Struthio camelus: one gene and its partners. Each later gene encodes a partner of the first gene's protein in a complex. Links are inferred from orthologs where the notes say so. Each region holds a gene or a part of one and is shown on either strand. Other genes may lie near its edges.

Region 1 (7,531 bases):
AGGCACCCCAGACAAGCACTCGCCCACCAGCAAAGGCAGTGAAGCCACAAAGTATAAAGAATTAGCACACCTCCAACACAAAATTCTAACCTGATAGAAATGAGCAGTTCCAATCTAAACACAAAGCTTATACATACCCCTGGGCAGGATACACGTCATCCCCACATTCAACTGCTGGAAAGACCAAGCTCACTACCCAGTCTGACACACAGTTGAGCAGTATTTGGAAGCTGCAGTAAGCAGCCACAGGGCTCTACAGACAGACACACAATACCTTAGCATTTCAGGGAGATCTCAGTTCACCAGCAAACACATACGCGTGCAACAGCCACTCATCCATAAAACCAGGCTGAGAACAGCACAAACAGTTGCTGATCAGCAAGACAACATCACAATGTGGTTTCGTCTCCACAAGGTTTGGCTCTAGTCTGCAATAACTCTTTGCTAAGACTCATAAGGACATGACACGTTAGAGCAGTGAATAAAGTACCCTTGATGGTCTGGATCTCAATGACTCCAGGGGAAAAGCACTTCTGCAACAACTCAGCCGCCTCATTCTCAATAGGCTGCAGGAGAGTAATGTCCGGAAGCAGTCGATAACTAGCTGTGGCCACAGGAGAAAACTTGGCATGATCTTTACCTGCACAAAGAGATAAGGGTGAGGAGAGGTCTCACAGAACAAGAGGGTAATGATGCTAGGGCCTAAAGTTCAAAGAGGCAAGCCAGCCTTCCACCTCTCCCCTCCACACATCCGTCCATGCCCTATAGTCCGAGCACTCCCACACCTTCTCCCCCTACCCTCAGGACCAGTGACTTACCTATACCCTTGACACAGTGCATAAGCACATCTATTTCCTGGCCAGGTCGTAACTGTGCGATAAGGATGTCATCATGAACAGGTCGGAAGTCAGCATCTGGGAAGAGGTCTGTCTGATTTCCCAAAGGCACCCATGTCATGTGTTTACTGTACACTGTGAAGAGGAGCCACAAGCATCAGCCAGCTGCTGCCTCAGAAAGCAGACTGCTACAGGACTGGAGCTGGTAAAAAGTTTAGCAGAATAAGGGAATCAGCTCTCTCTGTTCACAGGACTGAGAGAATGGACCAATTCCTGTCTCCCAAGAAAAAAAGCAGCATCTGTTTTTAGGACACGGAAAGACCTTACCTTTGTGATTGAAGTACAGTTCATTGGGGTCAGAGGACTCCCTGGCTGCCTGAGAGTTTCGGCTGCATTTTATTTTCAGCTGGAACTGCAACGTATCAATTTCTGTCCCTTCTTCATCTCCTGGAAAGGGGAGAATAGCACGAGCGTCTACAGAATCACGCTTCTGCTCAGTTTACCTGATCCCAGGTTTCCTACTTTGGGGGCAACCTTCAGTATTTCGGTTTGATTGAAGGGAGACTCAGGACTCTCACCTTGGTTTCTGTACTCAAAGAGTCGAGGGTCAGCTCGGATAGGGATAAGTCCCAAGCGATGAGCCAGAATCTCATCCTGCACGATGGACGTGTTGTTGTACACAAAGACTTTCTCTACAGCCATCGTTGGCACCTCAAGGAGAAGAGGACGCATCAAGTCAGTATAAGGTGACGGTCCAACTACACACCAAAACAGTGTCTAACTAAAACGTGCTTATTTTCACTACTTCTTCTCTCCCATAAATAATTGCTCGCACACTCTTCTCACTGGTGTTTCTATCAAATTGCGCTACCCAATACAAACATGAATGAGTTCTCCCTCTATCCCGGTAGCTTACTTCTTTTATTAAAAAAAAAAAAAAAAAAAAAGTAAGAGAGGTAAAGGGCAGACCAATCCACAGAACCTACCAACATCCACAACAACCTACCAACCTACCTCAGCATCCTTAAGGGTTACAATTGCTATTGCTCATGCCACTAAGGCTCTAACTCTCTCTAGGTCCTTGACATACAGAACGGATTTTTGCTTCTCTTCTAAAATACGTATAGATGGACTGAGATACCACAGGACATACACATACACGCCCTCTCCCATCGCACAGACTGCTCTGCAGCTAGGGCCTGCTTCCAGGCAGCTCTGTGCAGGGCCCTGTCCCCCATGCCCTGCTGCAGAAACACTGATGCTGCAGCAGGCTCCCACCGGCGGGCCACAAGGGCCACCGGTGGTACGAAGATGCTAACAGCCCCGAGGCCCACCCGAGTTGGGGGGGGGGGGGGAACCCGGCCGGGGAGCACCGCCAAGCCTTGCCCTCCCCGCGGCGGTACCTCAGCCAGCAGGATGCGGCGGAAGGCGTTGGCGATGGCCGCGTCGATGCCCACCATGTCGAACTCCAGCGCGTCGTCCTCCTCGCGGACCACGTCCACGCGGAACCCCTGCACGGGCCACGCGCCGCGTCACCCCACGGGCCCGCCTCCACCAACCGCCGCCGCGCGCGCGCCCGCACCGCCCGGAGCCTGTAACGTTCCTCCCCTCCCCGCCCCGCGCGCCCCCTCCCCAACGGCCGCCGCGGAGCCCGCCCCGTCCCAACGGCCGCCCAACGGCCGCCCCGGCCTGCCGGCAGCGCCCACCTCCTCGAAGCGCAGCTGATCCCAGGCATCGTCGTAGCCGGGGTAATTGCCGGGGAAGTCCGTGGTGTGGACCTGCGAAGAGGGAGATAGGCAGAGAGCCCGTGAGGGCGGCGGCGGCGCCGGGAGCGAGGCGGGCACCCGGCAGCCCCGCGCCGCCCCAACTCACGTTGCGGACCCCGAACTCGCCCAGCACCACGCGCTCCCGCATCTCCTCCGTGCCCCGCTTGGCCGCCATTGCCGCCGCCGCCGCTACCAGAGCGCGTGCGCGGCCGGACGGACTGGGGAGGGAGGGGTTAGACTCCCTCTGCCACGTGACGGGCCGCCCCACCCCCGGCGGCCGGGCGGGAGGACTTGGCTCCGCCTAGGTGTGGCGCCTCAGCCGCGGGGCGTTCAACCCTCCCTCGCCGCAGGCCGGCCTGGGGGCGCTGCGACAGCGCAGCCCACGCCCCCGTATGCTCTGCGAGGCTCCCTCACCGTCTACTCAGCTCCTCTCTGCTGCCCCCTTCCACTTTCCTCTGCCACTCCCAAGATGGCGGCACTGCCGGCCGGCCGGCGAGAGCGCGATCTCGCGAGAGCGCGGGCGGAGCCTCCACGTCCGCCGGTGCTGGGGGGGGAGGGGGGAAAGCCTGTCACATCCGGGTCCTGCGAGCCCCGCTGGGCCCGCGGAGCCGCCAGCAGCGAGCGCGGCGCGGGGCGGCCCCGGCCACGATGTCCGCGCCGGGGGCGGCGGCGCCGGGCGGCGGCAGGAGCGGCGCGGCGGAGTGGGGCGGCTTCGAGGACAACATGCAGGTGGGGCCGGGCCGGGCCGGGCCGGGCCGGGCGGGGGGCGAGGCCGAGGCCGAGCGGGGCCCGGGCGGGCACTGACGCCTCTGCCCCCCGCGCAGGGCGGCGGCTCCGCCGTGATCGACATGGAGAACATGGACGACACGTCGGGCTCCAGCTTCGAGGACATGGGGGAGATGCACCAGCGCATGAAGGAGGAGGAGGAGGAGGCGGAGGGCGAGGCGGCGGCCGCCGAGGAGGAGGACGGGGAGTTCCTGGGCATGAAGGGGCTGCGGGGGCAGCTCGGCCGGCAGGTCGCTGACCAGGTGAGCGTGGCTCCCCGCCCGGCCCGCGGCCGCCCCCGGCCTCGGGGGCCCGGCCCGGCTGCTGCACGCTGCCTTCTCTCCGCAGATGTGGCAGGTGGGGAAGAGGCAGGCCTCGAAGGCCTTCAGCCTCTACGCCAACATCGACATCCTCCGGCCCTACTTCGACGTGGAGCCTGTCCAAGTGCGCACCAGGTGGGCAAGGCCGTGGCCCGGCCGTCGCCTCCGCCGCGAGTGCCCGGGGGATTCAGGGGGGACCAGCGACTCCTCACCAGGGAGCGGCTGCCCCCAAGGCAAGCAACTCCGGGTGGGGCTGCCAGCCCTGCGCAGTGCCCAGATGCAGGGTAACACGCTAGGCTTTGTCCCCTTGTCCTTAAAGAGGTTCCCTAGGCGGGCTGGCCGCTATGTCACTTGTGGCCCAGCAGAGCTTCTCTGACTGAAACAAGGGCTTTGAGGCATCTTTAGCGTTTTATTGCCCAGCCCCGTCACGTGGTTTCTGTTGGACCTGCAACACAGTTGTGTTCAGAAAGGCAGTTCTGTGTCTTCTCAGGGAGCAGCTTACCTGACTGGAGAGAATGAGGCAAGAATTACTTTTCTAAAACCTTCCAAGGCCTAAGGAGCCAGCACTAGGGTACAGTTTGTACATATTTTTACAGCATGATTTTATCCAGGACTAACTCATGAGGAGGCTCGGCTAGCCCGCTGTCATGAAGGAGAAGGCTTTATATCATCAACATATGTTTTTTCATCCAGCCTCAGGTCAAGGAGTTCAGTGGCTCAGAAAATTAGGGATTGCTGTTCTGGCAGCAGTCCCCTCATCCCTGAATGGATCTGTGTATGTTTTCATTAAATCCCCCTGGCAAAGTTAGCCTGTGGATAATAAGATTGTTTTCTTTAGCTACCTTTTGTGACTCTTCAGAAGGAATCTGTGTCTACCAAGGCCTGTGAGGCACAACAGGAAAATACTGGTGACTGGGGTATGGGATCTTTTACTGCTGAGGCATCTCGTTAACCTGGTTGTTTTTCCTGCTTTTGATGTCGTTCTGTGTTTTTTCTGTGATGCAGACTGCTAGAGTCCATGGTTCCCGTCAAGATGATTAATTTCCCACAGGTGAGTTCCCTTTTGCTGAATCAAACTCCATGGCTCAAGAGAATGTCCCACAGACACCTTGGAGATTTTGATTAGCCCGTGTTAGTAAGGGCCTGAGTTTGCTAGTTGTTCATCTGCCTGAAAATGCTGGTAAGCTCTTTCCCAGGATGCTTCTAAACCCCTTTCTGCTACCCTTAATGCTGGTACAGTTCTAGATCTCCAGACTTCACTTATCGTGTTTTGGCATCCTGTTTAACACCACTTTGACTCTTAATCACATGACCTATTTTTCCTGGCTCCTGTCAGCAGCGGCCTTACTGTTACTTCTCAGATCAGTAGGTGGCTAAGTGACAAAATTCATCCAAGGCACTTCTCACATGGCTTGGGGTGGGGAGTCTGGCCTTCAGGAGCACTAACCAAGCCTTCCCTGGTCTGTCTCCTCCTGTAGAAGATTGCAGGCGAGCTCTATGGGCCCCTCATGCTGGTTTTCACGCTGGTGGCCATCCTCTTGCATGGGATGAAGACTTCGGACACCATCATTGTACGGCGAGTCTCAGCGATAGGTTGGGGTTTGCACTGGGATCTGAATTGCCATAATGAGGCTAGAGAGGGAGAGGAAGCCTCTCCCGTGACTGAACAGCACCTTGCTGAAAAGCAGACTGATTTGAGGAAGAGTTAATTTGGGGGTAGGAGGAAGGAAGCAAGCATCAGAAAATCTTGATGCTGTGTTGCTGGAAGGGCTGGGCAGTAGGCCATGTGGCATCCTGGACGCTGCTGGCTGGCTATTCAGTCATGCCTAGCAAAGGCTCTGGGAACTCTCTGAGGTGGAATTTGGGTCCTGACAGGTCAGTTCTTTGCGCTCTCCTCACCCTGACACTGTCTCTGCAGAGGGAAGGCACACTGATGGGCACAGCCATTGGCACCTGCTTCGGTTACTGGTTGGGCGTCTCCTCTTTCATCTATTTCCTGGCATATCTGTGCAATGCCCAAATCACGATGGTGCAGATGCTGTCACTGTTGGTATGTATGGATGGGGCTAAGATGCAGGTTGGCTGCATGGTGCTTCAGCAGAAGGGTGGTGTGGGGGGGTCTTCCCTGAGACGTGGAAGTCTCCTTATCAATTAATGGTCCCAGGTGACTGCAGTCCTATTGCATGGGGATAGGCTGGAATTCCAAGTTGTTCTTCTGACTTGCCCCATCCCAGGTACGAGGACAGCACAAAGTGGCTGTTGCTTCATGCAGATCTGCTTTGGACTTCCTGATCTGAGAGCATGGTGGTAAAAAGCAGGAGATTCCAATTTCTCTGGAAACAGAGGCTGATTTTTTCTCTGTTTCCCAAGTTGCTGTGATTTCTATCATCCCTGTGACTCCTTCAGGCAGAGAAGCTGGATGTGAGCTGCTCCCACAGCACACTGGCTTTTACGTTTGGTGTGCTGATTGACTCTTGGGTGTTGAGTGAGTGATTAGTGAAGCTTTGCCTCCATGAAACGCTGCAGGAGTAGCCTACTCATGGTTTTGACCAGTAGCCCTTCACGTGGGACTGTCATTCATAACACGTGTATTTTTGTTTTGTCAGGGCTATGGCCTCTTTGGACACTGCATCACCCTCTTTGTTACCTATAATATCCACTTCCACTCCCTCTTCTATATCTTCTGGCTGGGTGTTGGTGGACTCTCGACACTACGAATGGTAAGGGACAGGCAGCTGGGAGCCCTCCTGCTTTGGGGACCAAAAAAAAAAAAAAAAAGAGGAGAATGTCATTTGCTTTCTGTTTCTTGGGGCAGGCAGTTCATATCAAAGCCAGTAAGGCTGCTAAGAACAACAGCCTGACACTTCTGGGTTGCTTGGCCGCTGGTGTCTGGAAGTGACACTCGGCTTAATGTCCTCACGCATTCTAATGGCTGCAGGAGGTCTGCTCCCTTACAGCCCCTACTGTGGTGCAGAGTCCTGCCTGAGCATCCTGAACTCTTGGCAAGGCTGGACAAGCTTCACCTACATGAAACAGTCAGTTTACTTTGAATTTGGTGGTGTAAACTGCCAAAGAGTCTCTGAGTAGTTTCTGTTGGCTCTTACCACTTGGCCCATCTGCCTATGTGCATCTGACTGCAACGCCAAAGGCTGAGGTAGCAGCTACCTTGTCTGTAATCTCCACCTCTCTCCTAGGTTGCTGTGCTAGTGTCACGTACCGTGGGGCATACTCAGCGGCTCATCTTGTGTGGGACCCTTGCTGCTCTGCATATGCTTTTCCTCCTCTACCTGCACTTTGCTTATCACAAGGTAGTAGAAGGTAAGAAGGGGAGATAGGAAGGGAGTGCCTGTTAGATCTGGGGGAAGAGGAATTGCTTTTTGTTCCCTCCCAGAAAAAATACAGCCAGTTGGATCCAACCTGGGATATGTGCCAACTTCCTATCCAAGAGCGGCCAGCGCTAGCTGTGTTAGAGGAAGCTGTCCAAATGGGGCAGCAGATAGACATGGGGTAATCTGTTTGTGCCGAGTCTCAGGGTTTAGGACAGAAGTTGTGAGGCAGAAGGTTTAATTTTCCCCATAAATGAAGTGTCACAGCACTGACTGTTCCACTCACGCAGATATCCAGTCCCTTCCTGAATCTTGCTGAAATCAGGTTGCTTTCTCTGGTCAGAAAATCCACAGTCAATGTATCGCAAGAAAAATCTTTTTCCTTCTTAAAATTGGTGTAATGCCTTTTTTTATCTTGTGTTGTACAAAACAGGCAGCAGAAGCTCCACCTCCCCCAGTCTGTGCTATTTACCAAGCTATACATATTCAGGTCTCCTTTTTGCATCTTTTTTTGTTTT
Region 2 (6,945 bases), about 44 Mb from region 1:
TGGAAAATTGAAGCTTTGGGGATTTTAATTGCAGCAGGAGAGCAGGCTGTGCTGCCGAGGTCAGGGCCATGTTCTCTTGGCTCTTGCACGGAAAGATGGTTGTCAATGAAATAAAACAGACCTTGTTCGTGTTACCCAAAGCAAAACAAACAAGAAGAGATCATGGAGGTTACAAGCTTCTGGCTGCCTGCGTTTAATGGGAAGTGAATCAAGCAGTGTGATTTCTGCCTCCCACAAACGATCCCGGCGCTTTGACATACTCACCTTTGGTCGTGGCTGAGATTTCAGAGGTCTTCCTGCCAGCACAGCGCTTGGTAAGCAAGTGATCCTGCCGGCAGGACTGAAGTGCCCACCCCTCCTCGGAGTGATGGATTTTGGTCATGCTGTACCTGGACAGACATTCATTGCAGCATGCTGTGAACAGAGTGGTTAGCAAAGCCCAAAAGAAGCGTTGCAGAGAGGAAGCGTCCCGAAAGGCCAGGCAAGCCCGTCGTCAACGCTCTGAAGCGCCGCACGGAGCGGAGTCTGCATGGCGTTTGGCAGACGCAAGGTGCGTTGGAGCTGGAAAGCAGTTCGGTTGCTGCACGCTGGGAAGCGACGAGGAGCGATAGCCGCGTGTGAACAGGGTGTCTGCTTTGTTTCTCCAGGCTGCGTGCGAAGGACGCCTGGACTCCACTTGCTGGTGGGTGGTTTTGTTTCCAGCAATGCCCTGAGCACCATGTCCAGTTTCTGGCTTTACTGGACCTCTTGTGTTTTCATATGAGCCAGAAAGCGGTGGGGGAATGGTGGGTCATAAGCTGGGAGAAGGAGGTATGAGGGAAGGGCTGTTTGGGTGTCCTAATCTCGTGATAGCACACAGGTGTGAAAATTGCCCTGCAGACCAGCCCGAAGCATAGTGTTAATAGTCCCAGGTAAAATGTAGGCTGTAACAGGTGTTTCATGTGACTCGCAGAGCTGCCAGCTCAACAGGTCTCCACTGACATTTTCACATAGTAGCTACCGTGAGCTTAAAAATGCACCTTTTTTTCCCCCAGCAAAGGCAAGATCTAATAGCAATAGCCTTGGTCCAGAACGTGCCTGAGCAGACACTGCACTCTCACAAGCTCTACACCAGACCAGACCAGAGCTCCTCAGGTATGAAGTGAGAAAACTTTACCCGTCATAAGGAAATGAAAAATCCCTGGGGTCCTAGACCCCTCTTTACTTTCCCTTCACCCTGAATTCAGAAACCAAAACGCTCCCTTCCTGAGCGTATGTAAGATTAGATCCCTGCCGATGTAGTGGGATAAGGCTAGGAAAGCAGCCCGGATGCAGGGAAGAGAAGCATCTTTTATCAGCACAGCTGATACAGCCAGGAAGAGCAGTGACTCAGGAACCTCTGCATAACTCCAAGGCCTTTCCCTCCGCCCTTTTTCGCCTCAGGTTGCATTGAGATACGTCCCCAACTGGCTATTTCTGCTGCTCAGCTAAAAGCAGGGCTTCAACTCAATGGTAAAACAATGGCCCCAGGTGATGCAGTTACTCATAACCTGCCTTTTCAGCTGGATTTTGGGGAGATAGTGATTCAGGGACTCTTTAATCATTGGTTTGTTTGCTGAATAAGCAACAGCCTCTAGAGGAAAACACTGGGTACCATGTGTGAGCACTCACCATCTCCCCTCAAAGTGCTTCCCCCAAGCAAAGCCCAGGAGGTAAACGCTAAAGGACGGCCAGTGCGGTACCTAGGGTTTTGCCCAATTTATTAGCCCCATTTATTATTTGTTAGGTGGAGCAAAGAATGAGATGGATACGGCTGAGGCCTGAGCGTTGCGACCGTGGGGGCACCTTGTAAGTGATGCTCGCACACTTTTATTTTTTAGGAAAAAAAATGCAAAAATAAATGTTTTCTAGCTTGATTCAGCTTAAAGGTCAATAGACAAGGTCTTGCTCTCTTTCCTAAGCCTTGACAGAGGATGGTGCTGGGTTGCAGGAGGAGCCCGCCCATAGTCTTAGCAGTTGTATCCCTTCAGTCCAGCCATAAAGGATTTAGACCCAGATGCTCCGGTTGTGTTTTGCAGCAGGGTCTGGTCCAGCCGGAGCCTGGGCTTCACTTAACTCCCATATGGCTTCTCTCATACCAGATTAATTGTGACTGCGGAGCGACAGCTCTCGGGCTCCCACTGAAATCCCGTGGCCGGCCGCAGCCTGTGGAAAACCCTGGGGCTGTCCGACAGGCTCGAAAGCACCTTCGTCCGAGCGGTCCGGCTCCCGTTCCCTGCTGTAGTCCAAGCCCTTGGGGACTGCTTGCCTGTCTGTGGTCCAAGCCCTTGGGGACTGCTTGCCTGTCTGTTTTCCAAGTGCCGCTCTCCGCTAGGAGAGCGATGCCGTGCTGTAAGTAGGTTAATGCTTGTGTGTCATTATCGGTGTCAGCCACAATAGTCCACAGAAATCCATGAAAGGCTTTGAAAGGACCGGAGGCCGTGGCTGGGGCAGACATACAGAGCTCCCGGGCTCCAGTTTTTGTTTCCAAAGCACTTGTCGCACGAGCGAGTGTGTACACGGCCGGCGGGACCCCGAGCGGCGCGTGGTTCTCCAGCGTTTGTATTCAGATCTGTCCTAAACCACCATTAAAAAGAGGAAATCTCAGAGGCTGTGGCGTTCCCGTGGGACAGCGGGTCCCGGGGCTCGCGGCACTGGCACAGCAGCTGGGAAACGCTCCTGCCTGCCCCCGCCATGAGCGTTTCTGCCTCTCGCTCCGGGGAGGGGGTGATTTGGAGGTTTTGTGGCTGAGTTTGCAGCACTGGGTGTGCAGTGCTGTGCCGCCTCTGCGGCCGGGGGGGGCCAGAGCTTCCCCGCCTCCGCTGCCAGGTCGCCCGCGGCAGGGGGGACACGGCCTGGGGGGTACGGCCCTGGAGGGACGTGGTTCCGGGGGACGCGGCCCCGGGGGTGGCATGGCTGGAGGACACAGCCTTGGGGGGGACATGGCTGGATAGGACACGGCTCGGGGGGGGACACAGCCCTGGGGGGATGTGGCTGGGGGGGACACAGCCCTGGGGGGACAGAAATGGGGGGACAGAGCTGCATAGGACACAGCTCTGGGAGGACAGAAATGGGGGCACCACAGCCCTGGGGGGACAGAGATGGGGGGGACGCAGCTGGGGGGGGACATGGCCCTGGGGGGACATGGCTGGAGGGGACACGGCTCTGGGGGGACAGAAATGGGGGGGACACTGCTGGAGGGGGGACAGAGATGGAGGGACACAGCTGGGGGGGACAGAGTTGGGGGGGACACGGCTCTGGGGGGATAGAAATGGAGGGGACATGGCTGGGGGGGACAGAAATGGGGGGGACACGGCTGGGGGGGACAGAAATGGGGGGGACACAGCCCTGGGGGGACAGGAATGGGGGAACACAGCCCTGGGGGGACAGGAATGGGGGGGACACGGCTGGGGGGGACAGAAATGGGGGGACACAGCCCTGGGGGGACAGGAATGGAGGGGACACGGCTGGGGGGGGACAGAAATGGGGGGACACAGCCCTGGGGGGACAGGAATGGGGGGACACAGCCCTGGGGGGACAGGAATGGAGGGGACACGGCTGGGGGGGGACAGAAATGGGGGGACACAGCCCTGGGGGGACAGGAATGGGGGGGACACGGCTGGGGGGGGACAGGAATGGGGGGGACACGGCTCTGGGTCCCAGGCAGAGCGCACGTGGCCGTGGGTCAGGCCCTGGGGCGCATGCGCGGCGGGGTGGGGAGGGGGGAGGGCGCACACGTGGGGTGCGCGCGCGCGCGTCCGCCGGGGGGCGGGGCGGATGCGGCCCCGCCCCTCAGCCCCGCCCCCGGCCGCATCCCAGCAGGCAGCGCGGCGGCGGCGGGCAGCATGGCGGCGGGCGCGGGGGCGGTGGGCATGGCGGCGGGCGGCGGGGGGCACCGGCTGCGCCGCCGGCCGCGCTACCGGCCGCGCGGCGAGGCCCGGCGCGACTTGCCCGGCGCCCACCTCGACTCCTTCAACTACGCCATCAGCGAGGGCGTCTACCGCGCCGTGCAGGTGCGGGCGGCCGCCGTCGGGGGGCGGCGGGGGGCGACTGAGGGAGACCGTCGGGGGGCCGGCGGGGGGGACCGGCGGGGGGCGACCGCGGGAGACCGTTGGGGGCCGTCGGGGGGCGGATCATTGGGGGCCGTCGGGGGGCGACTGCGGGAGACCGTCGGGGGGCGGCGGGGGGGGGACCATTGGGGGCCGTCGGGGGGCGACTGCGGGAGACCGTTGGGGGCCGTCGGGGGGCGGATCATTGGAGGCCGTCGGGGGGTGACTGCGGGAGACCGTCGGGGGGCGGCGGGGGGGACCGCGGGAGACCGTTGGGGGCCGTCGGGGGGGGGGACCGTTGGGGGCCGGCGGGGGGCGACTGCGGGAGAGCATTGGGGGCCGGTAGGGGGGGGGACCGTTGGGGGGCGACTGCGGGAGACCACTGGGGGCCGGCGGGGGGTGACTGCGGGAGACCATTGGGGGCCGGTGGGGGGGACCACTGGGGGCCGTCGGGGGGCGACTGCGGGAGACCATTGGGGGCCGTCAGGGGGGACCACTGGGGGCGGTTAGGGGGCGGCGCTGGGGGTGGTTGCGGGGGGCCGTTGGAGGGCAGCTGGGGGGGCCGTCGGGGAGCGGTTGCAGGAGGCTGTTGGGGGCTGTCGGGGGCGATGGCTGGTGGGGGGAGACCACTGGGGGCTGGCGGGGGGTGGCTGGGGGGGACAAGCGAGGGCCGAGGTGGGACGGGCGTAGAGCAGCGAGGGCCCGGGGGTTGGCTTTTGGGGGTGGCTGAGGGCGAGGTGAGTCAGGGGAGCGGGGGTGTGGGGCCGGGGCCAGCGGGTGGCTTGGCGGGACGCAGAGGTCGCAGCGGGGGCGCCCTGTTCCCCGGGCAGCCCCCGCTCTGGGTGCTGCCCCCGACCTACGTCTGGGGAGCCTGACCGCCCTCGCGTGTCTGTTTCAGGACCTCCAGCCGCTGGAGTTTGCTCTCAAAAGCGATCGCATCTCGCTGGCTATTGTGGGAGTTTCCATCTCTCCCCCAATGGTGCCAAAAGGGACCATCTGTCAGGATATGAAGGTTTACCCGGCGGAGTGCAGGGGCCTCCGAAGCACGTATCGGGGGAAAATAATGGTAAGTGTTGAGCTGTAAGCATTGGGGCTCGCAGGGAGTACGCTGTTCTTCTCCAGGGCCTGATATATATTACATCATTACGTACGGTAGCATGACATCACTAGTTCCGCAAGAGCAAAGCTAACGGAAGCTTGTTTCTCCACAAATTTGCGTGTACTTTGGCTAAAGATCACTTTCCAATTTCACCTGCTTTGCAGGTACTTGGCAGAACTGTGTCCTGTATGGAGTCTCGAGTTCTGATGAAGTATGAGCCCACTGCAAAAGCTTCTTCTCTTTGAGCCCTTAAAACATCTCTTCCCCTCTGTGCTCCTTTTTCGTAGGACCTTAATGATCTTCCCTTTCCTGCTGTCAAATTTGGGTAGAAATCAGCTAGCCAGCTCAGAAGATCTTGGAAGGAGACCTGTTTAACCTCAGAGAAAGGGATAATCCAAATCTTGTTTCTACAGGAATCCAGGTTTCAAAATCAGTATTGCTCTGGTGTAAAAGCCCAGCTTTATAAATCCCTTTTGTTCATATCACGTGTTCATCGGTTTTCCAGATTGCTCTGAAATTTGAGTAGAGAAACATCCCTGGCAAATATTTTCCCTTGCGTTGTGAAAGCATCAGAGGACCATTGCTGTTTGCCACTAAAATTGTGTAGCTTTGTCCAAGGTGTAAATTTGCATGGGTCTCTTGCAAGAGAACGATTGTGTGCAGTTTCTGCTTATTTTTTTTTCCTCCTTTCTCTGAATCGTTGCCATTTATTATGGTAAAAGCCACTCTAAGTGCGGTATCTTGTCTGAACATAAAAGTGGGGCAGTCGCACAGATTCTTTGCAGACGTTTTCCCAGTGGCTGCTGCTGTTGTTTTTTCATACGTTCATTGTTTCTTTCTTTCTTTCCTAAGATTGTTCGCTTTTTCAATCTGTGCAAATGTTTGACGGTCCCAGCCCAACAATTTGGCTGTGCCTTATGTGAGAAAGTATTGCCTTGTGCTTGGACTGGTTGTTCAGTCTCTCCCACTCCCTGCTCTTGCGCAGCGGGAATCGGTGTATAATCATTCCCTGTTTGCTTTCACTATGCTGCTGTTAATTGCATGTCCTTCCATCGTATCCCCCTTGAGGTTCTCGCTTTTCCAAGCTAAACAGTCTTAGTCTTTGTGGCAGCTCCTCGCGCAGAAGCCATTGGAAGCCATATCTTTGGTCATCCTTTAGGCTTGAGACCAGAACTGTGCTGAGGATTTGATGTAGGGTGCACCATGGATTTACAGAGGCACAGTAACGTTTCTGTTCCCTTTCCTAGTAGTTCCTGAGACTTGATTTACTCTCTTGAGTTGGTGTTTTCATATTGTAATGCCAAGATTTCTTTTCTGAGTGGCAGTGGCTCCCTTAGAGCTCGTCGTTCTACACATAAAATTAAGATTGTTTTTTTCCACTGTGCTTTTTGTCACCTCGTTTCTTACAGTCAAGGGAGCCTTCTGCAAAGCCTCTGTCAGATCTTGTTATTGTAAATAAATGGTTTTCCTAAGCAAACTGTCTTTTCCTTCTCACTTTTCAAATCACTTATGAACAGGTCAAATGGTCCAGTCTTAGGAAAGATCTCTGTAGTCTCTACTGTTGATCTCCTTCCATTGAGCATTTATGGTTTTCTTCCACTTTTTCTTTAACCACGTATTGACTTCTGAGGTCTCCCTTCCTATCCTGTGGCTTCTTTGTTTATTTAGGCTGCTTTGTTGCAGTAGCTGAAACAGTCTACTTAGGCTTTCAGACTTGTTCACCTGACTAGCAGTTCTAGACTTGTCTGATTTCCCTCTGCAAACGGATGTTGACTGTTT
Region 3 (7,268 bases), on another chromosome or scaffold:
ACCTGCCCCCCCCCCCGAAATCTGAGCCCTCAGATGCCCCCGCCCCGGCCCGGGGTTGGGGGGGACGTTAAACCCTTCCCAAGGGGGGCTAGACCTGCCCTAAAGGGGCTTATACCCCTCCCAGGGAGGTTATACCCGTCCCAAAACGGTTTATTCCCATCCCAAGGAGGTTTATTCCCATCCTGGGGGGGTTATTCCCATTCTAAAGGGGTTTATTCCCCTCCCAAGGGGGTTTATTCCCATCCTGGGGGGGTTATTCCCATTCTAAAGGGGTTTATTCCCCTCCCAAGGGGGTTTATTCCCATCCTGGGGGGGTTATTCCCATTCTAAAGGGGTTTATTCCCCTCCCAGGGGGGTTTATTCCCATCCTGGGGGTGTAATTCCCATTCCAAAGGGGTTTATTCCTATTCTAAGGCTTTTATTCCCCTCCCAAGGGGGTTTATACCCATCCCAAGAGGGTTTAGTACTCATCCCAAGGGGTTTATTCCCATCCTAGGGGAGTTTATACCCATCCCAAGAGGGTTTAAATCCATCCCAAGAGGGTTTATTCCCAACCTAGGGGGTTTATACCCGTTCCAGGGGGGTTTATTCCCATCCCAAGGGGGTTTATACCTGTTCCAGGGGGGTTTATACCCGTCCCAGGGGGGTTCATACCCATCCTAAGGGGTTCATACCCCAGGGGGTTTATTCCCATCTCGGGGGGGTTTATACCTGTTCCAGGGCGGTTTATTCCCATCCCAGGGGGGTTTATACCCCTCCCAAGGGGTTTATTCCCAACCTAAGGGGTTTACACCTGTCCCAAGGGGGTTTATTCCCATCCTAAGGGGTTTATTCCCATCCTAAGGGGGTTTATACCTGTTCCAGGGGAGTTTATACCCATCCCAAGGGGTTTATATCCATCCTAAGGGGTTTATACCCATCCTAAGGGGGTTTATACCCCTCCCAAGGGGTTTATACCTGTCCCAGGGGGGGTTTATTCCCATCCTAAGGGGGTTTATTCCCATCCCAAGGGGTTTATACCCCTCCCAAGGGGTTTATTCCCAACCTAAGGGGTTTACACCCGTCCCAAGGGGGTTTATTCCCATCCTAAGGGGTTTATACCTGTTCCAGGGGGGTTTATACCTATCCTAAGGGGTTTATACCCGTCCTAAGGGGCTTTATTCCCCTCCCAAGATGTTTATAGCTGTCCCAGGGGGGTTTATTCCCATCCTAAGGGGTTTGTACCTGTCCCAGGGGGGTTTATATCCATCCCAAGGGGGTTATACCCATCCCAGGGGGGTTTATACCCATCCCAGGGGGGTTTATACCCCTCCCAAGGGGTTTATTCCCCTCCCAAGGGGGGTTTACCCCCGTGCCGCCGCCCGGGCTCACCACGGGGCCGTCGAGGCCCGGCGCTGGCTCGGGCGGCCGCGGCGCGGCGAGCTCGGGCCGGTTGAACTGGACGGCGGTGCGCACGGCTCTGCCGTCGAAATCTGCCGGGGGGGGACGGGGGGCAGGCGGTGGGTAACGGGTTTGGGGGGGGGGGGGGGGGGCCCAGGCGTCCGGGCCTGCTCCCCCCCCCCCCCCCATTCCCCGGGGGGCTCACCGGCGACGTCGAGGGCGAAGGCGCAGCGGGCGCAGCAGACGGCGTCGCGGGGGCCCGGCCGGGGCAGCACGGCCCCGCACTCGGGGCAGAAGTCCAGGCACGACTGGAAGCGGGACGGCGGCGGCTCCATGGCTGGGGGGGGGGCTGGGGGGGGCAGAGGGGTGCCTTTCCCCCCCTCCCATTGCCTCCTGCCCCCCTATTGCCCCCCATCACCCCTTATTGCCCCCCATCATCCCCTACTGCTCCTATTGCCCCCCATCACCCCTTATTGCCCCCATCACCCCCTACTGCTCCTATTGCCCCCCATCACCCCCTATTGCCCTCTATCACCCCCCATTGCCCCCATCACCCCTATTGCCCCCCATGGCCCCTTATCACCCCCTATTGCCCCCCATCACCCCCTACTGCTCCTATTGCCCCCCATCACCCCTTATTGCTCCCTATCACCCCCTATAGCTCCTGCCCCCCATTGCCCCCATCAGCCCCTATGGCCCCCTGCCCCCCATCACCCCTATTGCCCCCCATCCCCCCCTACTGCTCCTATTGCCCTCCCATCACCCCCTATTGCCCCCCCATTGCCCCCATCCCCCTATTGCCCCCATCACTCCCCACTGCCTCCCCATCACCCCCTGCCCCCTATTGCCCCCCATCACCCCCTATTGCCCCCCATTGCCCCTTATCACCCTCTACTGCCTCCCCATTGCCCCCATCAGCCCCTATGGCCCCCTGCCCCCCATCACCCCCATTGCCCCCCCATTGACCATGTTGCCCCCATCACCCCCTATTGCCCCCATCCCCCCCATTGCCCCCATCACCCCCTATTGCCCCCTGCCCCATTGCCCCCATCCCCCCCATTGCCCCCATCACCCCCTATTGCCCCCTGCCCCATTGCCCCCATCCCCCCCATTGCCCCCATCACCCCCTATTGCCCCCTGCCCCATTGCCCCCATCCCCCCCATTGCCCCCTGCCCCATTGCCCCCACCCCCCCATTGCCCCCATCAGCACCTATGGCCCCCTGCCCCCCATCACCCCCATTGCCCCCTGCCCATTGCCCCCCATCACCCCCCACTGCCTCCCCATCCCCCCTATTGCCCCCATTGCCCCCATCCCCCCCTATTGCCCCCCGCCCCCTCCCATCGCCCCTCCACGTGTCCCACCGCCCGGAGCAGACGAGACGAGCCGGGGCCGCCGCGGCGCCCAGAGCGGCCGGCGTGGGGGGGAGGGGCCCCCACCCACGTGACCCGCCGCCTTCCCGCCCTCTCTTGAGGCGACGCCAAAAATGGCGGCGGCGGCGCTCGGGGCACGAACGAGCGAGTTTCCCCTCCCCCCCCGTCACAACTTCGACCCCCCCCCCGAAAAAACCCCGCCAAAGACCCCGAAACCGACCGAAAAAGCCCCAAAGACGTTAAAAACGGCGGCGGGCGGGCGCTGGAGCGCGGGGAGGGGGGCGTGGCCGCGCGGGGAGGGGGCGTGGCCGCGCGGGGAGGGGGGCGTGGCCGGCGGCCCCGCCCTCCCTCGGGCTGTACCATCCCGCCGCGCGGGGGGGGGGAAGGGGAGGGAGGGAGGCGGCGGGAATGGGAGCGCCCGCAGGGGAGCGCGCGTGCGTGCGTGCGTGCGTGGCCTTGCCCGGCGCTGATTGGACGGCGCCGCCGCGGTGGGCGGGGCCGGGCCCGTTGCCATGGCGCCACTTCCGGCGCGGGCAGGCGGAAGTGGCGGGCGCTGCTGGGAGCCGCCGCTGGTACCGGAGGGGCGCGGAGGGGCGGGGGGGGGGGAGGAGGAGGAGGAGGAGGGAGGCCCGGACCCCCCCCCCCGGGGGGGAGCATGTCCCCTATAGGGGTGTCGGGGGGGGGGTCCTGTCCCCTATGGGGAGGGGAGGGGGCTGGGGGGGGCCTGTCCCCTATAGGGGGGTGTGAGGGGGCCCCTGTCCCCTATAGAAGTGTGGGAGGCTCCCTGTCCCCTATAGGGGTGTGTGGAGGGGGCCCTGTCCCCTATAGGGGTGTTTGGGGGAGATCTCTGTCCCTTATAGAGGTGTGTGAGGGGGTCTCTGTCCCCTATAGAGGTGTGGGGGGCTCCCTGTCCCTTATAGAGGTGTGTGGAGGGGGCCCTATCCCTTATAGGGGGGGGTGTGGAGGCTCCTATCCCCTATAGAAGTGGGGGGGGCCTGTCCCCTATAGGGGGTGTGTGTGGGGCCCCTGTCCCCTATAAGGGGGTGGGGGGGGCTGTCCCCTATATAGGTATGTGGAGGGGGGGAGCCCTGTCCCCTATAGAGGTCTATATGGGGGCCCCGACCCCTGTAGAGGTGTGGAGGGGGCAGCCCTGTCCCCTATAGAGGTGTGGGGGGGGAGCCCTCTTACCTATAGGAGTGGGGGAGGGCCCTGTTCCGTATAGAGGGGTGTGTGCGGGGGTCCTCGTCCCCTACAGAAGTAGTTAGGGGTGTCCCTGTCCCCTATAGGGCTGCGTGGGGGGGGGGTCCCTGTCCCCTATAGGGCTGCGTGGCGAGGGGCGGTTCCTGTCTCCTATAGGGGTGTGTGGGGGGGGTCCCTGTCCCCTATAGGGCTGTGTGTGGGGGGGGGGTCCCTGTCCCCTATAGGGCTGCGTGGGGAGGGGGGGTTCCTGTCCCCTATAGGGGTGTGGAGGAGGGATCCCTCTCCCATATGGGGTGGGGGGGTCCCTGTCCCCTATAGGGCTGCGTGGGGGGGGGTCCCTGCCCCCCCCTTTAGGAGGGAACAGGGCTGGGATGGGGGGTGGGGGGAAGGTCCCCGTCCCCTATGGGATTTGGGGGGGGGGCAGAGGGGGAACCAACCCCCTCCCTCATGTCCCCCCTCCCCCCCCCCGCAGAGCAGCCGCGAGCGGCGCCGGGGGCCCCGGCGGGGCCGCCCCCCCCACCCCAAATCCTCCCCCCCCCTTCCCCCCCCCCCATGGCTTGATCCGCTTCCCGGCGCGGAAAAAACCCCGGAGCCGGATCGCGGAGGCCTCGACGTTGGCCGGGGGGGGGGGGGAACGGACGGACGGACGGACGGACACCCCGGCGAGCCCCCTCCCCCGGCGCCGGCCAGGTAAGGCGGCAGCTTCGCGCCGGGGGTTTTTTATTTACCCTTCCCGCGTTTTGGGTTTTTTTTTTTCCCCTCCTTTCGCCGCCGGGCTTTAAATCCCGCCGGAAAAAGCAGCGGGGTGGGGGGGGGGAATCCTTTCCCCCCCCCCCTTTTGAACAGAACCGACAGGTTGCGGGGAAACTTTTCCTCGCCCCTGGGGCGTTTTGCCGCCGCGCGACGTGACCCCGGGGGCGAGGAAAAGCAGCTTAAACCTCCCCCCCCCACCCCGGGCGGCTTTAGCGAATTAACCTGCCTCCTGCCGCGTCTTTTCCTCCCGCCAGGAGGGTTAAAAAAAAAAAAATAATAATAAAACCGGTCCCAAAACGGCAGCGGGACGGCGAGTCCGGGTTTGTTTGTTTTTTTTTCTTCCCTCCTTCTTTTCAGGAACGTAAATCGCCGCCCGCCGGAGCCGGGGCGGAAGTTTTCGTTCGGCCGCTTGCTCGAGCGGAGGAGAAAGTCGCCCCGGGGACGGCCGCCTCCTGCCTGACTTCAGTAACCCAATATCTTCTTTTTCTTTCTGGTTTCTTTTTCCCCCGGTTTTTGTTTTTTTTTCCCTCCCCCTCGTTTCCTGCTCTGCTGACGTGTTACCTCCGCCACACGGCAGGAGTCGGGCCGGGCTCGCCGGCGGCCGGGTGAGTAACTCGCCGCGGAGGCTCCCCCAAAGCTTCGCGTTTTTTTTTTTTTTTTTTGGGGGGGGGGGGGGGGTCTGTTATTCTTTACTTTTTCCCTTTTTTTTTTTTTTTAATTATCCCCCTCAGTTTTTCACGTAGAAAAGCTAAAACCGCCCCGGCGGCTTTTCCCGCCCCGTTTCGGCGGCGAGTTCGGCCCCGGCGCCCAGGTTAACCTTTAACGGGGACGGACTCTGCCCCGGCAGCTGGGGTTTTTGGGGGCAGATCGGGGAGGGGGGGGGTTGTTTTCCCCCCCATCTCCTTTTCTACCGCAGGCGACTTTCGGCCTCGGCGCTGGGGACCTCGGGGGCGTCTTGTTTCCTCTCGCGACTTCCTCTTCGGGGTGTTTTTCGAGCGGGCGTTGGGCGTGGAGAGGTTTTTTTTTTTTGGGTGGTTTTTCTTTTTTTTTTAGGGGTTTCGAGAGGTTTTTAACGCGGCGCTCGGCTCGGCTTTGCCCGCAGGTCCATGGCGGCGGCGTGAGCGCGGTGGAGAGAGAGAGAGAGGGGGGGGCGGCCGCCGGGTGAAGGATGCTGAAGAAGAGCAGCCTGGCGCTGTGGGGGGCGGCGCTCTTCGTCGCTTGGAACGGCCTGCTGCTCCTCTTCCTCTGGAGCCGCCCCGCGGCCCCCGGCGCCGAACCCGGCCGCGGCCTCACCGAGGAGGTGATCCGCCTGGCGCAGGATGCCGAAGCCGAGCTGGAACGGCAGAAGGAACTGCTGCGCCAGATCCACCGCTACAGCGGCTTGTGGGGTCGCCGCCGGCGCCCGCCGCCTCCCCCCAGCAGCCCCCGGCCGCCGCCGTCACCCGCCGCCGCCTCCGTCGTCCTGCCCGTGCTGGTGATGGCCTGCGACCGCAGCACGGTACGCCGGTGCTTGGACAAGCTGCTGCGCTACCGCCCTTCGCCCGAACGTTTCCCCGTCATCGTCAGCCAGGACTGCGGGCACGCCGAGACGGCGCGCGTCATCGCCTCGTACGGCGACGCCGTGGCTCACATCCGGCAGCCCGACCTCAGCGACGTGCCCGTACCCGCCGAACACCGCAAGTTCCAAGGTTACTACAAAATCGCCCGTCACTACCGTTGGGCTCTGGGACAGGTTTTCCGTACTTTCCGCTACCGGGCGGCCATCGTGGTGGAAGACGACTTGGAAGTAGCGCCGGATTTCTTCGAGTATTTCCAAGCCACTTTCCCGCTGCTCTTGGCCGACCGCAGCCTCTGGTGCGTCTCGGCCTGGAACGACAACGGCAAAGAGCAGATGGTGGACGCCGGGCGAGCCGAGCTGCTCTACCGCACCGATTTCTTCCCGGGTCTCGGTTGGTTGCTGCTGGCCGAGTTGTGGGACGAACTGGAACCTAAATGGCCTCGAGCGTTTTGGGACGATTGGATGAGGCAACCCGAGCAACGGCGGGAGCGTTCGTGCGTGCGCCCGGAGGTGTCGCGCACCATGACGTTCGGTCGCAAAGGCGTGAGCCACGGCCAGTTCTTCGACCAGTACCTGAAGTTCATCAAGCTCAACGACCGCTTCGTGCCTTTCACCCGGCTCGACCTCTCCTACCTCAAAAAGGAGGAGTACGAACGCTCCTTCCTGCCCCGCGTCTACGCGGCGCCGGAGGTGCGGGTCGAAGAGCTGCAGGGCAACCGGCGCCGCGAGCTGGGCGCCGTGCGCGTGCGCTACACGAGCCGCGACTCCTTCAAAGCCTTCGCCAAGGCCTTGGGCCTCATGGACGACCTCAAATCCGGCGTGCCCCGCGCCGGCTACCGCGGCATCGTCAGCTTCGTCTACCGCGGCCGGCGCGTCTACCTCGCGCCCCCCTCGGACTGGACGGGCTACGACCCCAGCTGGAGTTAGCGGCGTCCCCGCTCCCCTCTCGGTTCGTTTGGTTTTTCCAACCAAACCTTCCTCCCGCTTCGGGTTGGTTTTACCACG
Region 4 (7,982 bases), about 23 Mb from region 1:
AGATGCCAGCCTGATACACTTTCAAAGAGTAATCAGGCAGCATACTGCCGTGAACATTACCAGTAATCAAGTTTGATGTACTTTCTGCAGCCTGTCATGCAAGACCTTCCACTTCTCCATCAGCACTTGAATAACTACTTACACTGACAGTCTTCCCCCCTTTGTAGCACCATGCTCAAATCCATATGTTCTCTGTTATCACAGAATGGTTGAGGTTGGAAGGGACCTCTGGAGATCAGCTAGTCCAACCCCCTTGCTCAAGCAGGGTCACCTAGAGCATATTGCCCAGGGTCACGTCCAGGTGGGTTTCGAGAGACTCCACTAACCTCTCTGGGCAACCTGTTCCAGTGCTCTGTCACCCTCACAGGAAAGGAGTTTTTCCTCATGTTCAGATGGAACTGCCTGTGGTTCAGTTTCTGCCCGTTGCCTCTTGTCCTGTTGCTGGGCACCACGAAGAAGAGATTGGCCTCATCCTCTTGACACTTTCCCTTCAGATACTTGTACACGTTGATGAGATCACCTCTGACCTTCTCTTCTCCAGGCTGAACAGGCCCAGCTCTCGCAGCCTTTCTTCAGAGGAGACATGCTCCAGTCCCCTCATCCTCTTTGTAGCCCTCCGCTGGACTCTCTCCAGTAACTCCATGTCTCTCTTGTAGTGGGGAGCCCAGAACTGGACACAGTACTCCAGGTGAGGCCTCACCAAGGCTGAGAAGAGGGGCAGGATCACCTCCCTCGACCTGCTGGCAACACTCTTCCTAATGCACCCCAGGATACCCTCGGCCTTCCTGGCCACAAGGGCACATTGCTGCCTCATGGTCAACTTAATGTTCACCAGGACTCCTAGGTCCTTCTCTGCAGAGCTGCTTTCCAGCAGGTCAAACCCAATTATACAATGACCTTTATTAAAAAAAAAAAAAAAAAAAAAAAAAAAAAAGGGCACTTACTTAGCTTGCAAAAGTTACCTGGCTTTTCAGGTCTTACCTTTGACACTTCTTTCTAAATCAAGTCTATATAATTTATTTTAGTCAACTGAGACAAATGTTAGCCCTAAAGTCTTACAGATGCTTCTTGCAAGTATTTTTTTCAACTGCAGAACAACTCCAATAAGGGATTTCGACTTACTTACCTCTGAAGGACCCATGTATTCAGTAGAAAAGTCTTTCTCCAATGACTCAGTATAGAAGGTCAGAAACTCCGCAGCCCTTTTCCACTGCTTTTGTAGCATGGCATCCTGAATGTAACTTAAGCATGCTTCCTTGCTCTTCCTGAAGTTTAATTTGTGTTCATGGGAAGTCGCTAAATACAAACAAAAAAACCCAGTCTTCATTCAAATAATAACATGCCTACTGTTTTAGTGTCTCTCTATCAAAGAGACATGATTCCTCAGACACTACAGAAACCAGTCTTCACCTATATGACTTTGAAAGTAAACACATCCAGGTTCTGAAAAACCTAACAGGAGAGCAACAAACTATGAAAAAAGCTGGAAATACAGTATAAAACAGCATTTTCACAAGCAACACAGAGATGAAGACACTTTTGAAACAGCCAAGGACTAGCTGTTACACACTACTGCTCTAGAGGAATCAGAAAACCATGGTGCTTTGGTAACTTAGTAGTGTATGTTGATATTTGGGGAGGGGGAGAAGGGAACCTCTCTCTTCCCTTATTCATCCTGAACTGACCTTGTGACTCTACTGTGCTGAAGTGTCACATAAGTACATACAGATGGGCCACTCCAGTAACAAAGGTGAAACAACACCCACTAAAAACAAAAAGCAAAACACAAAGATACACATAGCAGATTATTCTTTTGTGAATACAAAATGGGAAGGAGGCCACTCATCCCTTTTATATAAAGGGTGCTAGACAGTGGTTCACCTTTGTTATAGCACAATATTGAACCCATTTCCATGTTTAAGCCCATGCCTATGTAATATTTGCATGCCATTGACCTAACGTGCCCCCACAATGTCACTCAAGCCATAGAAACCTTCTGCAAAGGATGTGCAGAGCTGAGCAAACCAGCTCCTACATGGATGCTGTAGGCAAAGCAGTGACTCAAACATAGGCTGACAGCACTTTTATTACAGTGCATTGTACACAGTTACCTCTAACCAACCTTCCCAAGACCATACTGACTAGTCTAAAAGAAGCTTCTTTTAGTAGAGCAATAGTGTCTTCACACCTGGCCTAACATTTAAATTATTTGTAACTTCACAGGTTCCAAACATTGAGAATAGAAAAACCGCAACAAACATTGCAAGATTAAATATACCAAGGACTATGACTACTGTAGGTAAGTCCCATCACATAAGTTACTGAGAAGTCATCTGATACAGATAGATGCGATGTAAAGGCTCTGCCAAGTGTTTTACTACAGAAGTATTTTGAAACAGGAACTTTGCTAGAGGTTTGGCAGTTACCTACATCCACTATGCCTTTGTTATCAGTTATTTCATCTACCTTATTTTACTAACAGTGAAAATGCGGAATAAGCCACATGCAGCTTATTACCCACAGAAACAGAGAGAAACAACACAGGGATGCTATGATTAAAGACCTCAGTCTCTGAGGTACCAAACATCCTCCAGGCCCCTGAAGCCACGAGACTGCCGGGGCTGCCCACACGGAGGAGAGCAGGCCAAGACTGCCAGAGGACAGTCACCAGTTCTTCCTGCTTCACTGAGACCTCACAGCACGGAGCAGAAACGACACCTTCGAGCACCTCAAAGGCTGCCAGACAGACCGGCCAAGCGCAGACCACAGAAAAGGGGGGGGCGGCGGACACACGCGGCGGGCGGCGCTCCTCCCTCAGGCCCCAGGGACCCGCGGGGGCCGCCGCCGCCGCCGCACAGCTCCGCCCTTACCCGGCCGGTAGAGGTGTGGCGGCAGGAAGGGCAGGTGCAGGGCCGGTAGCAGGGCGCCGCCCGCCTGCGCGGCCGGGCACGGCGCCGCCCGCTCCACGAAGCCGTCCATAGCCCGCAGGAAGGGGCCGGTGCGCCGGGCGGCCGTTACCGCGATCGCTAACGGCGCCGCTGCGCGAGCCGTCCTCTTCCCACGTGACCGCTCCCCCCCCCCCCCACGCGGCTATAGCGGGGAACCGCCTGACGGCAGCGGCCATCTTTGATCCTGGCGGCGGGCTTCGGGGCGAACTAACTGGAGTTTCTAGCCAGCCTCATCTAAACCGAGCTGCTAAGGTCATCCTGTGAGAGAGGCGAAGCCGCTCCGCCCTGGCGAGCTTAGCCGGGGCTCAGTTTAAAGATGACCACCTCTTTCCGCTCCCAAGTAGCCCTAGCTCCTAGAGCGTAGGCCAGCTGTTGGCCAGGTGCGCATAGCGGCCAAGGCGCATGCGCCCTATGGAACATGGGCCGCTTCGCCGCCATGATGAAACGGGAGAAACTGGCTCTTGCGCCTGCGCGCTGAAGAACTTAGCCACCTCCGCCGCCATGATGAAAGGGGGAATTGTCTCGTGCGCCTGCGCAGTGAAGGGGGGGGAGGGGGTCGTGTGGAGGCGCGGGAGGGGGCGGCGTCGCCCGCTTGCTCTCCTCATGGCGGCCGGGCTGGCGGCCCTTCGGGCGTGCCTTGGGATGCGTCCCAGAAAGGTGCCGCTCACCCTCGGTAGCGAGCGCCCCTTGCGGGTCAGGGTGCGGCGGTAGCTGGGGCCACTTCCAGCTGAAATCAGCCCTCAAGTAGCGTGGCTGTGCGTTGGTTTGCAGCAGGTGGCCGGAGCTGGGCCGGGGCCAGCGGCCCGCAGCGGTCGTGTGGAGGCTGAAGGCGCTGCTGTCACCGCTGCGGTGCATGGCCCGGCCCGGCGGGCTCTGAGCTGTCCTGCGCCCCGGCCCCGCCAAGGGAGCGCAGCACGTGTACGAGGGATGTGCTGGCAGATAAACTGCCTGTGGAGGTGGGGAAATGAGAAACGGCAGGGTGAGGAAATAGCAGGCACCTAGAAGGAGGATGGGAGGCTTGGTGGACGTGCTCAGAGGGGTAGCAGAGAACCGTCTAATGCATAGCACCATCAGAGCGTTGTTACACCTGCCACCAGTAACTCCGAAAGTGATGGTTACCTCCTACATCCTGTTACCACCTTTTTCCTCTAGGTTTATTGGTACTTTTCTGTGGGTCTGTAATTTAGAGCAGCGTTTTTCTACAGAAGAAAAGGACCTAGAAGAGTCAGTCTAGAACACCTAGATGCCAGAAGTCCGTCTGCACAGAGCCTGGTTTGTACAAACCTGTGCTGGAGCTCGTTTCATTAAATCACTAGCAGCAACTGACTTAGCCTCGGAGTGATTTGGTATGTTCAAAGTCCTGATTTCTGAATAAAAACGTACTTTTATTTTTCTCTAAACAGTTCTGCCAGGTGAAGGTGAGTAAGTGAATGATACTGGCTGAGATGAAAGGTTCACCTAATCCAGTGTCCTGTCTTCAGCTAAGATCCAGAACAGGTGTCAGAGGACGAGTATAAGGCAGGGCAGTTTTTTGTAGTGTCTAAACATTTAACCTTAGTATCATACCCTACTGTGACACTTAATAAATCTATGTGGGGATAGCAGGAGTCTCATGTTACTGTTTTTCTCTGCTCTTTCAGCCTTTCTGATCTTGGCATCTCCCGGTCCCCGGTGTTATCACAACAGTGCAGTCTTAATCCAGTGCTCTTCCAATTTAGGCCCAGAATTTCAGTTCATAAGTATTCGGTATTACTCGTAGACAGAGTTAACTTATTCAACTAATTTGACTATAAACCTTATTGAGTATATATTTTCTTTGTCTACCCTTTATAAGCAATGCTTCGTATAAGCGTCTCACTGATTACTGGTGTTCCCCAAGTATGGCGTCACGTCCTACAATATTTCTGATGCTCTGTTGCATCAATACCCTAGTTTCGGTATTCAGCTTCCCCCATTTTATCTCTGAAAGTTCTCATGTTTGCTTAGAAGCAGATTAATGTTTCTCTGGGCTTTTCAATTTTTCTGTGTCTTACATAAATGAGAGTCTTTGCTGGTTCCTGTGTGAACTTTGCCAATTGGTCTTATTCATGGGTATTAGTTTTTAATTTGGTAGATGCTTTAGCGCAGAAGAGATGGGGAAACTGCTTTGTTTGTAGCTGTGAACATGTACACATCTCTAGATTCCACATAATGGCACTCCTCTCAAATTTGAATGCACGTATCTGCAAGATTGGGGTTGAAGGCTGAAGGAAATCTTTCCTAAAACATTTGAATTTAATTAAGTGAGAAAGAGAAAGCTGCGTACATATTATTACTATGAAATATTTGAAATTGTAGGGAATTTTGGATGGTTGCAGTGGTAAACCCATGTATATATATTGACAGCAATATATACAATAATGGCAATGACTCTTGCAAGAAATAAGTAATCTTGTTTCTCTTCATGTGTCGCTTTTCTGTGCTTGGTTTTTATGATCATAGACACCATTACTTTTTATCTTGGTCTTTTGATAGATAAGCTTGATAACCTAGTACTGTCAGGGAATTATCCAACAGCTATATCTTCACAAGCAAGTGGACTTAAAGATCAGAATGGGAATTAAGCCACAAGAAATTTTAACGTCAAGGGAAAAATCAGTTGTCTTTTATTCTTAAAGTCTCATAAGCTGTATGACTTCAATATTCTAGTTTCCATATACAGCAGTGTGTTAAAATCCTCTAATTTTGCCAAGTTTGTAGTTCATAGTTTTTTGGTAAAATCTGTTTTTATGTTTCTGTTTGGAGTTAACTCTTACAGGATATATTTCAAGAGAACTGCAGCTTCACAGCTCAGGCTGCTTGTAAGCTGTGATGAAATTCACGTTTCAATTTTATGAGTTAGACTTTCTTAGAGCTTTTCCTCAGACAGCGTCAGTAATGGCAAATAGGTATCACCTCATTTTATAGGATGTGAAATAGAGAAACGCCAGCACAACTCCAGGGGGGCTGTGTTCTACAGCCGCGATACTGCGCTGGGCCTAGGGAATATGTGGAGGCACCTTCCTGGAGAAAATAGTACGGGGTGAATGAACTGTTGCGTTCCTCTAACGTATAGGTGTTTCCTTAATCTTGGGATAGATGGGGCTGTAAGGAGTGGCTAGATGTTTAAGGTAAGTTTGGCTGTGAAATACTGAAGCCTGTCCTTGTAGCGTTAAATTAGGAAGATACCTATTTCTGTCCTGATGCCTTTTCATAACGTGATAAAACAGTAAACTGCTCGGGAGTGGGGGGAGGTTAAAATAAAATACCTGTTTTTCCAGAGATCATGTAGCGTTAACTACGGTTGGCTCTCAGATCTTGTCCGATGGGGCCGTAGAAGTGAGAGCAGGTAAAGCAAAATCAGTAACCGTAAGGATACGAGAACACGAGCAGTACCTCTAAGGCAGCCAGCAGCGGTGACTGCCAGCTGCTGGCGATAAGAGCTGGCCGTCCGCGGAAGAGGAGGATCAGCTCCTCTGGTAGCTGATGCTCAGAGCGCGCGCAAACGTGTCGCTTAAAACGCCTCTTGAGAGACGCACGGAAAAAGCGGGGCCCTTCCCCTTGACCACCGGACCGGCCCAATTCCGGCTCGTTTCTGGAGCAGCTGCAGAGCCTGCCCCGCGCCCGGAGAGGGCAACGAACACCTGCCGTCTGACTGAACCAGCCGCAGGACGCCGCGGCCTGTCGCCTACCCGCGCTGCCCTGCTGTCGCCTCCTCTTCGCAGAGGGAACTTTCCTTTGGCTGAACGACGAACAGGCGGCCGGGCAGACGCCGACTTCACGTTGGCCCTCCCGCGCGGGACGGCGCTGACGAGAAGCAGCCCCGGCAGGCGTGCGAGCGGCGGGGCAGCCGCCGCCAACCGCTGCCCGAGGGGGCGGTGAGATGGCGGCGAGGGGGCGGGATGGGGGCGGGCGAAATGGCGGCGGCGGCGGGGTCCGAGCGCCGCCTGCTGCCGCCGCCGGCCCTGCTGACGTGTCTGCTCCCTCCCTGCCGCCGGCGCCCAGCGATCATGGCCGCAGCGCCGCCGCCGCCGCCGCCGGCCCCTCGGCCGCTCCTCGCCCTGCTGCTGCTGTTGCTGCTGCTGCCGCGGCCGCTGGACGCCGAGCTGGGCCGCCGCTTCGCCGAGCGCAAACGCTGCGCCGACCCCGAGTGCAGCAGTGAGTGGGGCCGGGGCCGTGGGGCAGCGCTGGGGGGGGGGGCTGCGGGGCGGCGCGCCGGCTCCCGCCGACTTGTTGCCGCCGCCGCCGCCCCCCCCCCGGGGGGGGTCCCGCTCGGGGAGGGGGCAGCGCCGCGGGTGGGGGGGGGGTTAGTTTTTTTGATGTTTTTGTTTAAAATTGCGGGGGGGGGGGAAGGGAGCAGGGCGCGCGCTGCTCCTCGCCAGCCTCCCGCGGGGAGGCAGGTTGGGATTTACCCGCTTGGTCTTTCGGGCCAAGTTTTCCCGTTCCCGCAGCTTCTTCTCTTTCCGCAAGACCCCCTGGTAAGAGACGCTGGCTGGGTGTTTTTCACAGCCCGAGTAGCAAAAGGGCTGATTCATTATGAAACAGATGCCATCCTTCAGCCTTTCTTATTTAATATTAACAATTCGCCTCATAGCGCGCTTCTCAAATGTAACGCTCCGGTGCTTTATTGAGCTCTTGTGTGGGCTTAGGTAATATTTTTCCCTTACTTATCCTATTTGCGCTTGCAGTTATATTCTCACCCCTTGACCCAGTCTGTAAAAACTGTGCGTGCGGAGAGGTCGTCTTTCCTGCTGATTAGCAAAGATCCTTTCCGCAAAACTATGACGTTCAATTTTTTGAAGTAATACTCTGCTCTTTGTTTTCTTTGTACAGTGTTGATGTGCCGAGGGAAGGCCATGCAGGATTTTAAAGGTCCAGACTGTCGTTTTGTCAATTTTAAGAAAGGAGAAGCAGTGTATGTGTATTACAAACTAATAGGGAAATCAACTGAGCTTTGGGCTGGAAGTGTAAGTACCGTAAAGCATTTATTCCATTTGATCTTGTTGGCACTTTCTT

What was found.
Region 2: the proteins of POLR1C (region 1) and POLR1B are in contact, whole or in part, in a cryo-EM structure (PDB 7OBA), measured with the Homo sapiens proteins. The link is inferred for Struthio camelus from reciprocal best matches to the Homo sapiens genes POLR1C and POLR1B. Residues at the interface, in NP_976035.1 of Homo sapiens: Ala70, Asn74, Arg77, Arg78, Leu81, Ala82, Gln102, Asp103, Glu104, Ile105, His108, Leu112, Lys220, Asp221, His222, Ala223, Thr230, Ser232, Tyr233, Arg234, Leu235, Asp281, Thr282, Phe283, Ser284, Glu286, Arg289, Arg301; in NP_061887.2 of Homo sapiens: Arg713, Gln715, Lys761, Ala762, Glu765, Arg766, Gly767, His770, Tyr774, Gly816, Val848, Arg872, Pro874, Glu900, Asp901, Phe904, Glu906, Gly908, Lys967, Gly970, Tyr971, Asn972, Phe973, Tyr974, Arg978, Tyr980, Ser981, Gly982, Ile983, Ser984.
Region 3: POLR1C (region 1) and POLR1H share a complex: the UniProt entries of both Homo sapiens proteins name them as parts of the pol I pre-initiation complex. The link is inferred for Struthio camelus from reciprocal best matches to the Homo sapiens genes POLR1C and POLR1H.
Region 4: POLR1C (region 1) and TAF1A share a complex: the UniProt entries of both Homo sapiens proteins name them as parts of the pol I pre-initiation complex. The link is inferred for Struthio camelus from reciprocal best matches to the Homo sapiens genes POLR1C and TAF1A.

Annotation. Positions count from the first base shown.
Region 1 is NC_090944.1:103,662,652-103,670,182, reverse strand, and holds the start of POLR1C (DNA-directed RNA polymerases I and III subunit RPAC1), read right to left. Parts: upstream 3,026-7,531; 5' UTR 2,778-3,025; coding exon 2,709-2,777; intron 2,615-2,708; coding exon 2,543-2,614; intron 2,348-2,542; coding exon 2,240-2,347; intron 1,548-2,239; coding exon 1,415-1,547; intron 1,284-1,414; coding exon 1,164-1,283; intron 972-1,163; coding exon 819-971; intron 641-818; coding exon 491-640; intron 1-490. Other genes in the region: protein YIPF3, read left to right, coding at 3,251-3,331, 3,427-3,630, 3,716-3,822, 4,693-4,738, 5,166-5,258, 5,606-5,737, 6,294-6,407, 6,882-7,005. UniProt on the Homo sapiens protein: DNA-dependent RNA polymerase catalyzes the transcription of DNA into RNA using the four ribonucleoside triphosphates as substrates.
Region 2 is NC_090944.1:147,741,414-147,748,358, forward strand, and holds the start of POLR1B (DNA-directed RNA polymerase I subunit RPA2), read left to right. Parts: upstream 1-3,900; 5' UTR 3,901-4,031; intron 4,032-4,965; 5' UTR 4,966-5,043; coding exon 5,044-5,133; intron 5,134-6,945. UniProt on the Homo sapiens protein: Catalytic core component of RNA polymerase I (Pol I), a DNA-dependent RNA polymerase which synthesizes ribosomal RNA precursors using the four ribonucleoside triphosphates as substrates.
Region 3 is NC_090977.1:793,282-800,549, forward strand, and holds the start of POLR1H (DNA-directed RNA polymerase I subunit RPA12), read right to left. Parts: upstream 3,064-7,268; 5' UTR 2,973-3,063; intron 2,946-2,972; exon of another isoform or gene 2,744-2,945; intron 1,730-2,743; exon of another isoform or gene 1,718-1,729; 5' UTR 1,716-1,717; coding exon 1,586-1,715; intron 1,473-1,585; coding exon 1,372-1,472; intron 3-1,371; coding exon 1-2. Other genes in the region: MGAT1 (alpha-1,3-mannosyl-glycoprotein 2-beta-N-acetylglucosaminyltransferase), read left to right, coding at 5,874-7,190. UniProt on the Homo sapiens protein: Core component of RNA polymerase I (Pol I), a DNA-dependent RNA polymerase which synthesizes ribosomal RNA precursors using the four ribonucleoside triphosphates as substrates. Can mediate Pol I proofreading of the nascent RNA transcript.
Region 4 is NC_090944.1:126,970,122-126,978,103, reverse strand, and holds the start of TAF1A (TATA box-binding protein-associated factor RNA polymerase I subunit A), read right to left. Parts: upstream 3,069-7,982; 5' UTR 2,980-3,068; coding exon 2,871-2,979; intron 2,857-2,870; exon of another isoform or gene 2,564-2,856; intron 1,761-2,563; exon of another isoform or gene 1,686-1,760; intron 1,297-1,685; coding exon 1,127-1,296; intron 552-1,126; exon of another isoform or gene 387-551; coding exon of another isoform or gene 327-386; intron 1-326. Other genes in the region: MIA3 (transport and Golgi organization protein 1 homolog), read left to right, coding at 6,884-7,124, 7,800-7,933. UniProt on the Homo sapiens protein: Component of the transcription factor SL1/TIF-IB complex, which is involved in the assembly of the PIC (pre-initiation complex) during RNA polymerase I-dependent transcription.